Xenopus tropicalis: one gene and its partners. Each later gene encodes a partner of the first gene's protein in a complex. Links are inferred from orthologs where the notes say so. Each region holds a gene or a part of one and is shown in the gene's direction. Other genes may lie near its edges. The genes, in order: nup205, nup160 and nup93.

Evidence for each region.
Region 2: nup205 (region 1) and nup160 share a complex: the UniProt entries of both Homo sapiens proteins name them as parts of the nuclear pore complex. The link is inferred for Xenopus tropicalis from reciprocal best matches to the Homo sapiens genes NUP205 and NUP160.
Region 3: nup205 (region 1) and nup93 share a complex: the UniProt entries of both Homo sapiens proteins name them as parts of the nuclear pore complex. The link is inferred for Xenopus tropicalis from reciprocal best matches to the Homo sapiens genes NUP205 and NUP93.

The regions. Positions count from the first base shown.
Region 1 is NC_030679.2:6,626,811-6,630,463, reverse strand, and holds part of nup205 (nuclear pore complex protein Nup205), read left to right. Parts: intron 1-1,199; coding exon 1,200-1,391; intron 1,392-1,710; coding exon 1,711-1,981; intron 1,982-3,593; coding exon 3,594-3,653. UniProt on the Homo sapiens protein: Plays a role in the nuclear pore complex (NPC) assembly and/or maintenance. May anchor NUP62 and other nucleoporins, but not NUP153 and TPR, to the NPC.
Region 2 is NC_030680.2:15,984,045-15,987,697, forward strand, and holds part of nup160 (nuclear pore complex protein Nup160), read left to right. Parts: intron 1-133; coding exon 134-356; intron 357-767; coding exon 768-846; intron 847-1,202; coding exon 1,203-1,317; intron 1,318-2,511; coding exon 2,512-2,673; intron 2,674-3,481; coding exon 3,482-3,559; intron 3,560-3,653. UniProt on the Homo sapiens protein: Functions as a component of the nuclear pore complex (NPC). Involved in poly(A)+ RNA transport.
Region 3 is NC_030680.2:43,618,635-43,622,287, forward strand, and holds part of nup93 (nuclear pore complex protein Nup93), read left to right. Parts: intron 1-927; 5' UTR 928-940; coding exon 941-1,119; intron 1,120-1,837; coding exon 1,838-1,955; intron 1,956-3,653. UniProt on the Homo sapiens protein: Plays a role in the nuclear pore complex (NPC) assembly and/or maintenance. May anchor nucleoporins, but not NUP153 and TPR, to the NPC. During renal development, regulates podocyte migration and proliferation through SMAD4 signaling.

The DNA.
Region 1 (3,653 bases):
TAGGCTAATTTGGTCGTTTGGCCCTGTGGCTAGACGATCGAATTAAAACGCCAGTAATAGGCGCAGTCGGTTCAGGAACTGCATCAACGAACCAATGTGGTCCCCGATCCGACTACATTTTTTATCCTGCCCAATCGATAGCTGCCCGATTTCAGGCCAGATATCGGTCGAGCAGGCCCCTCGTTTGTGCCCCTACATGGCCCAATAAACTGCCTAATCGGTCTAAGGTGTATGGCCACCTTAAGACCAGTTTTTCAAGAGTCCCGTCTACAGGAGGTCGGACCCTAAGGTCTCCAGTGAGACTTGACGAAAGGAGCCCCTTGGTCAGTGAGTAGTTGTGACAGCTAGGGCAATACTTGGGGTAGGGATCAGAGGGTTAACCCCCAATTCAGGAACAATAACCCCAGGGCCATCTAACCTTCTATGACAGGTAGAAGCCTCCCAGATCACAGCTCCTGGTGAGACTAGGGATCCTTGCAGGGGATCATGCAGAGAACGGAGGTCCTCTCTAGCCGGTTCTGGGCAGCACATGTTCCCCCTCCCCACCACTAGCACCGCATCCCCTTCTAGCAGAGATGCCTGGTGATGTTTGTATTTGGCCGCCATTTTTTTTTTACACAGTACGATAAATAGGCCCCCAATGGTGCACTGATATTGCGTTATAGCAGAATGTACCTGGCATTAAGTACTTGGGTGCATTTCTGATATATAAGCAATGAGTATACTCTATCTGCCACTCAAAGCTGCTTGGCTAAAGGTGGCCATACACGGGCCGATTCTAGCTGCTGATATGGGTCCCTTAGACTGATCTGGCAGCTTATCGGCCCGTGTATGGGCACTACCCACAGGCCTGCCTGACCCATATCTGGCCTGAAATCGTCCATATCTCGACCAGGCAGGTTTGAAAATCAGTCGGATCGGGGACTGCATCGGCTCGTTGATGTGGTCCCTGAATCGACAGACGCCTTTACCCTTCATTCTAATTTGATCGTTTGACTCCAGGGCCAAACAACCGAATTAGCCCGATATTGCCCGTCCGTATGTGGGGATATTGGGAGAAGATCGGCTCGCTTGGCGACCTTGCCAAGCGAGCGGACCTTAGCGTGTATGGCCACCTTTACAGCCCCCTGACAAGTAGCCGTTGCATCTGGCTACAGACTTGTTGGTTATAGTGTCTCTTGCGTCCCCTGTTTGTGTAGGAAATCAACACCATCCTTCAGTACGTGGTGGAAAGGAACAAGCTGCTGCAGTGCCTCCACGCCAAACGCCATGCGCTGGAATCATGGCGGCAACTTGTGGAGATCATACTGACCGCCTGTCCCCAGGACCTCATTCCGACTGAGCACAGACAGCTCATCATACGAGACCTGCTGCAAGATCTGCATGATAAGGTAACCTCATCACCTTACATTTCCTTCATATGATATTGTAAATTAAAACGAACCACTTACCCAGTGCTGGGGTCTGCGTAGTTGCAGAGATTGTCCGTTGGGATAGAGACCGGGGCTCATTTAACAACACTGGGCAAATTTTCCCATGGGCAGTAACCTATTGTAACCAATCAAATTCTAACATTCATTGTTCTACCTACAGCCAGTTGAAAAAAAGCCAATCACCAATTGCAAAAGTGCTTCTGTGCTTACCCGCTGCCCCTCTCTACCCCACTCCTTGTGTGGTGATTCAGCAATTCCCAACTCTCCTTCCTTCCAGATCCTCGACGACGACGCTGCCCAAGAACTAATGCCCATTGTCGCCGGGGCAGTCTTCACCCTCACCACTCATCTCAGCCAATCTGTACGTACCGAGCTGAAACAGCCGATGGCTGCCGCTGGGCTGGGCCAGTCGCAATATGTGCAAATGCTGGACGGCTCATTCGCTGCCCCTCCTGGGACAGAAAACCTCTCCGCTGGTTTTGCATCCATTGGAGACTCCTCCCTTCACATGATTCTCAGGAATCTGCTCGAGTTCATTCTAAAAACAGGTCTGCATCATTCCCATTGGGTCTTTGACTTTCAGCAGGGAAAGTCCACCATTTGTGTGCAGGGCCGTCATCGGGGGGGACAGTTGTCCCGGGCCCGGACGATCCTGGCTTTAAAGGGGGCCCGGCCGTGATACAGGTTTTTTTTTTAGCTCGGGCCCCCTTTAAAGAATTACGGGCCCTGTCATTGGTGGTCAGCGGGTACTTCCATTGGTTGCGCCCCGTGTGTACACGTGACGTAAATCGCAGGAGGACGCTGGGAGGGGGGGAGCTGGAGGACGCTGGGAGGGGGGAGCTGGAGGACGCTGGGAGGGGGGAGCTGGAGGACGCTGGGAGGGGGGAAGCTGGAGGACGCTGGGGGGGAGAGTTGGAAGACGCTGGGTGGGGAGAGTTGGAAGACGCTGGGTGGGGAGAGTTGGAAGACGCTGGGTGGGGGGAGTTGGAAGACGCTGGGTGGGGGGAGTTGGAAGACACTGGGTGGGGGAGTTGGAAGACGCTGGGTGGGGGGAGTTGGAAGACGCTGGGTGGGGGGAGTTGGAAGACGCTGGGTGGGGAGAGTTGGAAGACGCTGGGTGGGGAGAGTTGGAAGATGCTGGGTGGGGAGAGTTGGAAGATGCTGGGTGGGGAGAGTTGGAAGATGCTGGGTGGGGAGAGTTGGAAGATGCTGGGTGGGGAGAGTTGGAAGATGCTGGGTGGGGAGAGTTGGAAGATGCTGGGTGGGGAGAGTTGGAAGACGCTGGGTGGGGAGAGTTGGAAGACGCTGGGTGGGGAGAGTTGGAAGACGCTGGGTGGGGAGAGTTGGAAGACGCTGGGTGGGGGAGTTGGAAGACGCTGGGTGGGGGGAGTTGGAAGACGCTGGGTGGGGGGAGTTGGAAGACGCTGGGTGGGGGAGTTGGAAGACGCTGGGTGGGGGAGTTGGAAGACGCTGGGTGGGGAGAGTTGGAAGATGCTGGGTGGGGAGAGTTGGAAGATGCTGGGTGGGGAGAGTTGGAAGATGCTGGGTGGGGAGAGTTGGAAGATGCTGGGTGGGGAGAGTTGGAAGATGCTGGGTGGGGAGAGTTGGAAGATGCTGGGTGGGGAGAGTTGGAAGATGCTGGGTGGGGAGAGTTGGAAGATGCTGGGTGGGGGAGCTGGAGAATGCTGGGTTGGGGAGCTGGAAGATGCTGGGTTGGGGAGCTGGAGGATGCTGGGGGGAGCGGGAGGAAGCAGTGGGAATTGGGCCATAATATGAGGACACTGGGGTAGGACCAGCAATGTTTTAGGGGGCCCTGGGCTGGCTAGCAATGTTTTAGGGGGTCCCTGCCCTGGCACCAATGCAAAACGTAACCCCTGGCTACCAGTGTTTTAGTGGGGCCCTGGCTACCAATGTTTTAGGGGGGCCCTGGCTACCAATGTTTAGGGGGGCCCTGGCTACCAATGTTTAGGAGGCCCTGGCTACCAATGTCTGTGTCCTTTGTACTGATGGGATGGGTCACTAGGGGAGGGGCTACTGGGGGGCAAGGGGTGGGAGAGGGGGGGGCCTAGAAAATGTTGTTGTGAGGGGCCCTGTGATTTCTGATGGCGGCCCTGTTTGTGTGTGTGTATTGACATTTTATCTTTCTCAATCTTCAAATAGGAGGTGGGTTCCAACGGGTCAGGGCCCACCTGTACGGATCGCTGCTGTATTACCTGCAGA
Region 2 (3,653 bases), on another chromosome or scaffold:
CTTTAACCCAAAAAAGTCTGAAAACCACTGATCTGCTTGTTTGGCTATGTCACGTTACCTTATGTTCAGTGACATTGGAAATTATTCACTGACATATATTTACTTTAATGTCATATTTTTTTTTTCCCCCCAGGAAATCATTTCAGACAGCCACATTCAATCAATATTTACTGACATTGGGAAGACCAATTTCCACGATCCCAACAACACCTATGTGATTCCAGCTATTCCTGGACGAGCCCCCAATTCTACTGCTTCCACGGCATGGCTAAGCAGCGATGGAGAGGCACTGTTTGCGCTCCCCTCTGTTTCAGGAGGAATTCTTGTAATTAAAATGCCTCCTCGTGACATGGAAGGTACTAGTGATTGCCTAACATTTTATTTTTAAGAATATGGAAAGGCTTTGATGAAATAGAATCCTTGGACAGCGCTCCCTCCCCACTCCTGAACAGTTTCCCCCCCTTCACCTTTTGTCTAAGCCTTTCATTCACCTATTTCTTTGGGCAATATTTCTTAAAAAACAAACTTGTAGAATACTAGAGAGTGGACCTGATAGACAAGGAAGTACACTAAACCTATAAGCTTATGCCTGGGATGTTAATGTTGTTGGGCCATTTTGCTTTTGGTCAGGACTATCATTTACATACCTAGAGAATGGTGTGAGTAAGATGGCCACATTTTGTTGTACCTTAGGTGTACCTGCTGTACTTTTGGGGGCATAATTTTATGTTTCTATATGTATATTTCCTTTTTTCATGTTTCTGTAGGACTTGTGACCATTGCAGAATTGAAACAAAGTTCTGTAATGCAGCGACTTCTCACAGGGTGGATGCCTTCATCTATACGGTGAGTGATGTCTTGGTGGTCTCACAGGTTGGATATATTCCAAAACTCATTACAGGGATTATATCCTTTTGCATCAGTCTCTGCAACCAGTAGAGCTTACAATCTAAGGTTCATGTTAAACACACACACACTATAGTCAGTTTAATCAGGTGATTGCTATTACATTTACAGGACTAGGGAATATTTTCCTTTTAACAGTTGGTTGCTGAAATCATGTAGGGATTACATGGCACTTTTACTACTATGTTCATTGGGGGCATTGGGTTGTATCCCATATAAAAAAAAAAGTAGTAACTGATAAACTGTTGTATGGTATTGTGGCTCTCAAGATGGTAATTATGAATTTATGTGCCTAGAGGTGACCCGGGTCCGGCGCACCTTCCTGTAAGCCTTGCAGTTCATACACTTGATCATGATTCCTACCTCTTCGCTCTGTGTCAGGATCATAAACTCCGCATGTGGTCATACAAGGTGAGATTTTTTTAAATTATTTTGAGATAATCTGTGGTTTGTACAGATGGAACAGTCTTTATAACGGTATTTGGCATGATATTATAATAGTGATGTGCAGCAAGCCTGAAACCTGAGCGGTTTGGGCCAAAATGTCTGCACACAATGCTGGTTCAGGTTGGCTGTGGGTCATACTGTTCTTGCAATGCCCATAGTACTGTGTAAAACTGCTTTAAGTTTATTGCTTCAAAAATCCCAGCTTCTCCATCTTCACTGGCTCACTAGATTATACAGGTGCCATTGATATGCAATTACAAGATGGGTGCTGGTCTGACCAGTGGCAACATTTTGGGGTTAGGGTCAGTTCCAGTTGAGTTGTTCCTGACCCTCTCAGCACTATATTGAGAGTTGGTGTGGCTGTGTGTGCCACATGACTTAAGCCAGCCTCTTCTGAATTAGATCATTTTATTGTGTAATTACCCTTAAACATATTAAGATTTCATTATCTTGCTAAAACTAAAAAGACATTTAGAAAAAAAAAAAAAATTTTAAGCAGCTTTCGATTGTGACTTTATAAAAATGTTTTCGTGCTTAAAGAGCTTGTGTTACATTGTTTCAAAAGCCAGAGCCACCAGGGCAAAGTATAGAAAAGGACAGACAAACATTGATTTTCATAGCAATAATATATACAAATAACTTTAAAAAAACTGTTACAATTTTGTAATGATTGTATATTACAGAGTTGCTTAGAATTACGTTTTCTTTTTGAGTTGACATGTCCTTTAATATGAACTGTGACCATTTTATATATTGCGAACATCAGACGTCATGGTCCTTTACTTTTCCCTGGAGCACAAGTGCTTAAGAAATGAGGGCCACACAAAAGTGGCCATCTAACAAGCATCTGTGCCCTGAGGAAAGCTGCACTTTGCATACTGCATTCTGCAACATAAATGACCCCTTCCATGTTTTTAAGCTAGTTAGAAAACACAGCATAGAAATCTGGAGGCCTTGACGACAAACCTATAGAATTCCAAACAAATGATTAATAAGCCTGTATCATAGTTAAGGGTGGTAGAGATTAGCAGTAATACTTTCTGATTTGTTGGTTCTATTGTAACTTTCTTTTCTTTCTGTAATTTTTTTTTTCCCCCAAACAAAGCTAAAGCCTTTAAAAAAATAAATAAATAATGAGCTTTGGTGCTTTATTCCCAGGATCAAATGTGCCTTATGGTCGCCGACATGTTGGAATATGTGCCAGTTAGCAAAGATATCCGTCAAACAGCTGGGACAGGACACAAACTGCGGCTTGCCTACTCAGATACATTAGAAATACTTTACCTTGGGGTATATTTGCACACACCCAGACAAGGACAGGTAAATTGGAATCCGGATATTCTTTAATTATTGCAGGGGTCGGGAACCTTTTTGGCTGAGAGAGCCATAAACACCACATATTTTAAAATGTAATTCCGTGAGAGCCATACAATATGTTGGGCTGCGGGGCAAGGTAGGGTGGGTGCCAAGGATGAGGAGGAGGGCGTAGCCTGCGCTCGGCGGATAGAAGACGTGTTTTGAGGCTTAGAACACGTCTTCTATCCGCCAAGCGCAGGCCACGCCCCCTGTTATTTTTTTTATTAAAGATTTGGCAGAGAGCCAGATGCAGCCATCAAAAGAGCCACATCTGGCTCCCGAGCCATAGGTTCCCTACCCCTGAATTATTGTCTTGTCATTTTTGTGTCCATAAGTTCTGTCCTATTTCTTGTGATGCTATTACTGTCCTGTTATTTGCATTGCATCCACAGATCTTGGTCAGGCACAATGGTTGGCTATTTCTTCTTGTCTCTAATTAGAAACTCTCAAGTAGGCTCCAAAGTTTTTAGTCATGGAACTTTCTTTTGTGCCAGTCATGATGGGAATTAGATGTTGACTTACTTTAAGGTGGAAGGACTTAAAGGGGTTGTTTGGGTTAACTTTTAATACGTTCCAAAACGGCAACTTTTTAATTGGTCTTGATTTTATCTTTTATAGTTTCTGAAGGGGTCACTGCCCCCGACAAGCAAAAAAAAACTATAGCTCTGTGAGGCTACAATTTTATTATTATTGCTACTTTATTGACCAGACGTAAATTGGACCATAGCAACCAGAAATAGTTGACCGTTTTTCCTTTTGTCCCTTTTCCTAGTTCTGTGTATTCCAGTTGGTGTGCACGGAAAGCAATCGCTACAGTTTGGAGCATACTTCCTCAATATTCACTAATCAGGTAAGCAAGTTGTTAAGAAAACTCCCCCAAAACAGTAAAATAGCATTTGAAATGGATTCCGACTTCCCGCTTCAGCAACGCCTTAAGATCTTTT
Region 3 (3,653 bases), on another chromosome or scaffold:
TTAGGGCAGAAATGTTGTACATTATGTTTTGGCCTTCTGTACCAGCCCAAGGCGACCACAGCCTTTTAGTAGGGAAGATCAGTGCCTCCAAAGATGCCCAGTAGCTTCCCATCTTCTTTTTTGCTGATTCACTGCACATTCTCTGTGCTGCTTTCAGTTAGGGACCGGCTCAAAATATATTACATAAATAAAAATATAAATTTAACAGTAAAAGGCTGATCTGAAACCAGGGCAATTGCATCTAATTGAAAAATTAGCCCTGTAGCATCAGCTTCTATGACAAACCTAATTTTCTGCTTGAAAATTTGCAGCAACCCCTAAACTTTTCAACTGCTGCTCAGAGCACACTGAGCATGTGCACTGTCCCAGACAGATCTAACAGAATCCAAGATGAGGAGCTCCTGTAAAGACCTATGTCATTACTACTACAGAGATGCTGAAATTTTAAAGCCAGTGCAGTCAGTTTATTATATAAAGTATGGCATTTCTAGCCATATTAATTTTTAGGGTTTAGTTTTCCTTTAATACGCTGAACCTTTCTGCTAGTTCTAAAACATGGCTTGACATTTCGGACCTCCAGAAGTAATTGGATTTCATCTGCATATAAAGCTACCTTTTCATCCAATCTCCTACACTTGAGCCCGATGATATTAGGGGACTGGTGGACCATTATGGCATAGGTTATCGAGGAAATAAAAAATGATACCTATACCTAATTTTTCAAATACTTTCCATAAATATGACTATTTGACCAAGTTAAATGCTTTGGTGGCATCCAGAGATGCCAGAACTCTGAAGCTGGAATTGTGGCGATCAATTTGAAGGTATATATATAACCTTCTCAAGTTGATGGCATTGCTTTTACTGGGCATAAAGCCTGTTTGGAAGTGCATTGTAATAGTATACTCTATATGCTCTGTTTTGCAGATCTCCTGTGACAATGGATGGAGAAGGGTTTGGAGAGCTTCTGCAGCAGGCTGAGCAGCTTGCTGCAGAAACAGAAGGAGTTACTGAACTACCTCATGTAGAGAGGAACCTACAGGAGATCCAGCAGGCTGGTGAGAGGTTGCGCTCCAAAACCATGACTCGCACTTCTCAGGAGTCAGCCAATGTGAAAGCGTAAGTACCAGTTATTTTTGATTAAGGACTGTCACATGGTATTTTGATAACTTATAACTTTGCTAAAGAAGCTTGGGTTTCATCCCATAAGGCCAGTTATTTTTGGATGATGATCGCAATACAGGCAAACTTTGGAAAAAAATTCTGATCATGGTAATTGAAAGATCTACTACAGGCATTTTGAGCACAGCTTCAAGTAGCAATTACTAAACAACCCTTTTAATAAATGCTGCATGAATAAATGTGGTGTTTTTTTCCTAGGAGCAACATTACAGAGGAATACTAGGTTGTAAAGTGGTTGCTTTACACATGGCACCGATGATGTTTATGAGGAAAGGTGCTGAGAAAGGGCTTTCAGGTTTTGGATGTGAACAGTAGTGACTATAAGGTTGTGGAGTGAAATCTTAGTACAGTGGAGGGCAGTGTAGCAAAATATATTCTTTTGCATAGGTTGGTGGGCACAGGCAACCATTGAGATAAAGACCCTGCAGACTTTAAACAATGACTCCTGCTCAGGGCCTGACCAAGTTGGGGCTGGTGGATTTTTGTGAAGCGCTAGTCTGATTTAATTCATTGGGGGTGCCTAACTTATTGCCAATTTATTAGCCTTTCATTTTATGGTAAGTACAAAACTCCCTTTTTCAGAACATTCTATATATTACTTAAATGTTGGACAGTATATAGTAATAAATATACCGCTTTTTTATAATTATTAAAGGTCTGTTCTGCTGGGATCAAGAGGTCTTGACATCTCTCACATTTCCCAGAGGCTTGAGAGTCTTAGTGCAGCCACAACATTCGAGCCTTTGGAACCTGTTAAAGACACGGATATCCAGGTAAAGGGGCCTTATCTACTTTAAATGGTAGAGAAAATGGTGAGGAATGTCCATTTAGTCTTAAAAAGACAAGTTAAATAAATAGAATGGTTGTGCAACCTTAAAGAACATGTGAAGGCTACATTTGCCTACAATGTATATCAGTTGGGCACATCCCCCTCACCCATTTGTACTGCATATATCCCCTGTGCTTGCCAGCACCATCACATTTTCCTAAACCAAATAGCAGCTTTCACCCGGTGGCCATTTTTCGTCTGATTACAGGCTCAAGAATACAGGCATACACACAGGCACAACTGTCTTTGATAAAAGTTCTGCTTTGTTTGAGCTGAGTTCAGGAGAGTTGGTTGGGAGAAAAAAAATTGAAGCAGACAGCTAGAGCTGAGTTTCTATGGGAACCAGCAATGCCATCTCTTCGCTGGCTGCTAGACTGGGGGGCATGTTTAGTAATCTGAGCTTAGAACAACTGAGCATGCCCACAAGCCAAAGCAAATTCTTGAGGGAGGGGGCTGAGTGGGTTACAGGAGGAGAACAAATCTAAGTAATTAAGGGAATGTTGCAGCCTTACTATTAACCCCTGGACAACCAGTGTGGCAGGTATTGAAAGATTTTAAAGAGGCTGTTCACTAATTACATTTTTGTGTGTGGGGTTTACATGTCCTTAAATCTGCTAATAGCCGGGATAGGCAAATTTTGGGTAAATGACATGTTTTGTCAAAGAAATTTTAGGGGTTAACTAACTTAACAGTGGATATATGTATTTATATATGTGTGTATATATACAGTATATATTTACTGTTTTGCTAAATTTAGACTAGAAAACAATTACATTTGGTATGTGCAAAATTTTAGTGGTGCTGCATCCTACAGTGCAGTATTAAAGGGTTGGTTTACCTTTAAGTCAACGATCCCCAACCTTTTATACCTGTGAGCCACATTCAAATGGAAAAAGTGTGGGGGAGCAACACAAGCATGAGAAAGATTCCTGGGGGTGACAGTAAGAGCTATCATTGGCTATGTAGCCCCTATGTGCACTGGGAGCCTACAGAAGGCCCTGTTTGGCATTATACTTGGTGAACATGTTCACTAGCCACTGCTTGGGGAGCACTGCGCTTTGAGTTAACAATTAGTATGTTATAGAAAGGCTAATTCTAAGCAGCTTTTCAGTTGTTACTTATTTTACCTTTTGAATGATTTGCCTTGTACTTTTGACTCTTTCATGGGGTTAATGACCCCAGTATTTAAAAAACTTGCTTTGCGCGGCTACAATTTAATTATTATTGCTACTTTTTATTATTTTTGTTTTTATTCAGGCTTCTCCTATTCATATTCTAAGCTCTCATTCAAATCACTGCCTGGTTGCTAGAGTAATTTGGACCCTAGCCAGATAGCTGTCAAAAATCCAAACTGGAGAGCTGGTGAATAGAAAGCTAAAATAACTTATAAAACACAAATAATATAAAATGAAAACCAGTTACAAATTGTCTCAGAATATCCCTCTTTACAACAAAAGTTAATTTAATGGTAAACAACACCTTTAACTGAACAATATGATCTTCATATACTCATTAGGCCATACCACACAGGGTGTCTGGACTGCCAGGACGTATGAGAAACAGGGGTTTATTTACTTACCGTTAAATCCTTTTCTCTCTAGTCCTATGGGGGACACATGACCTCCCTTCCAGAAACAAGGGA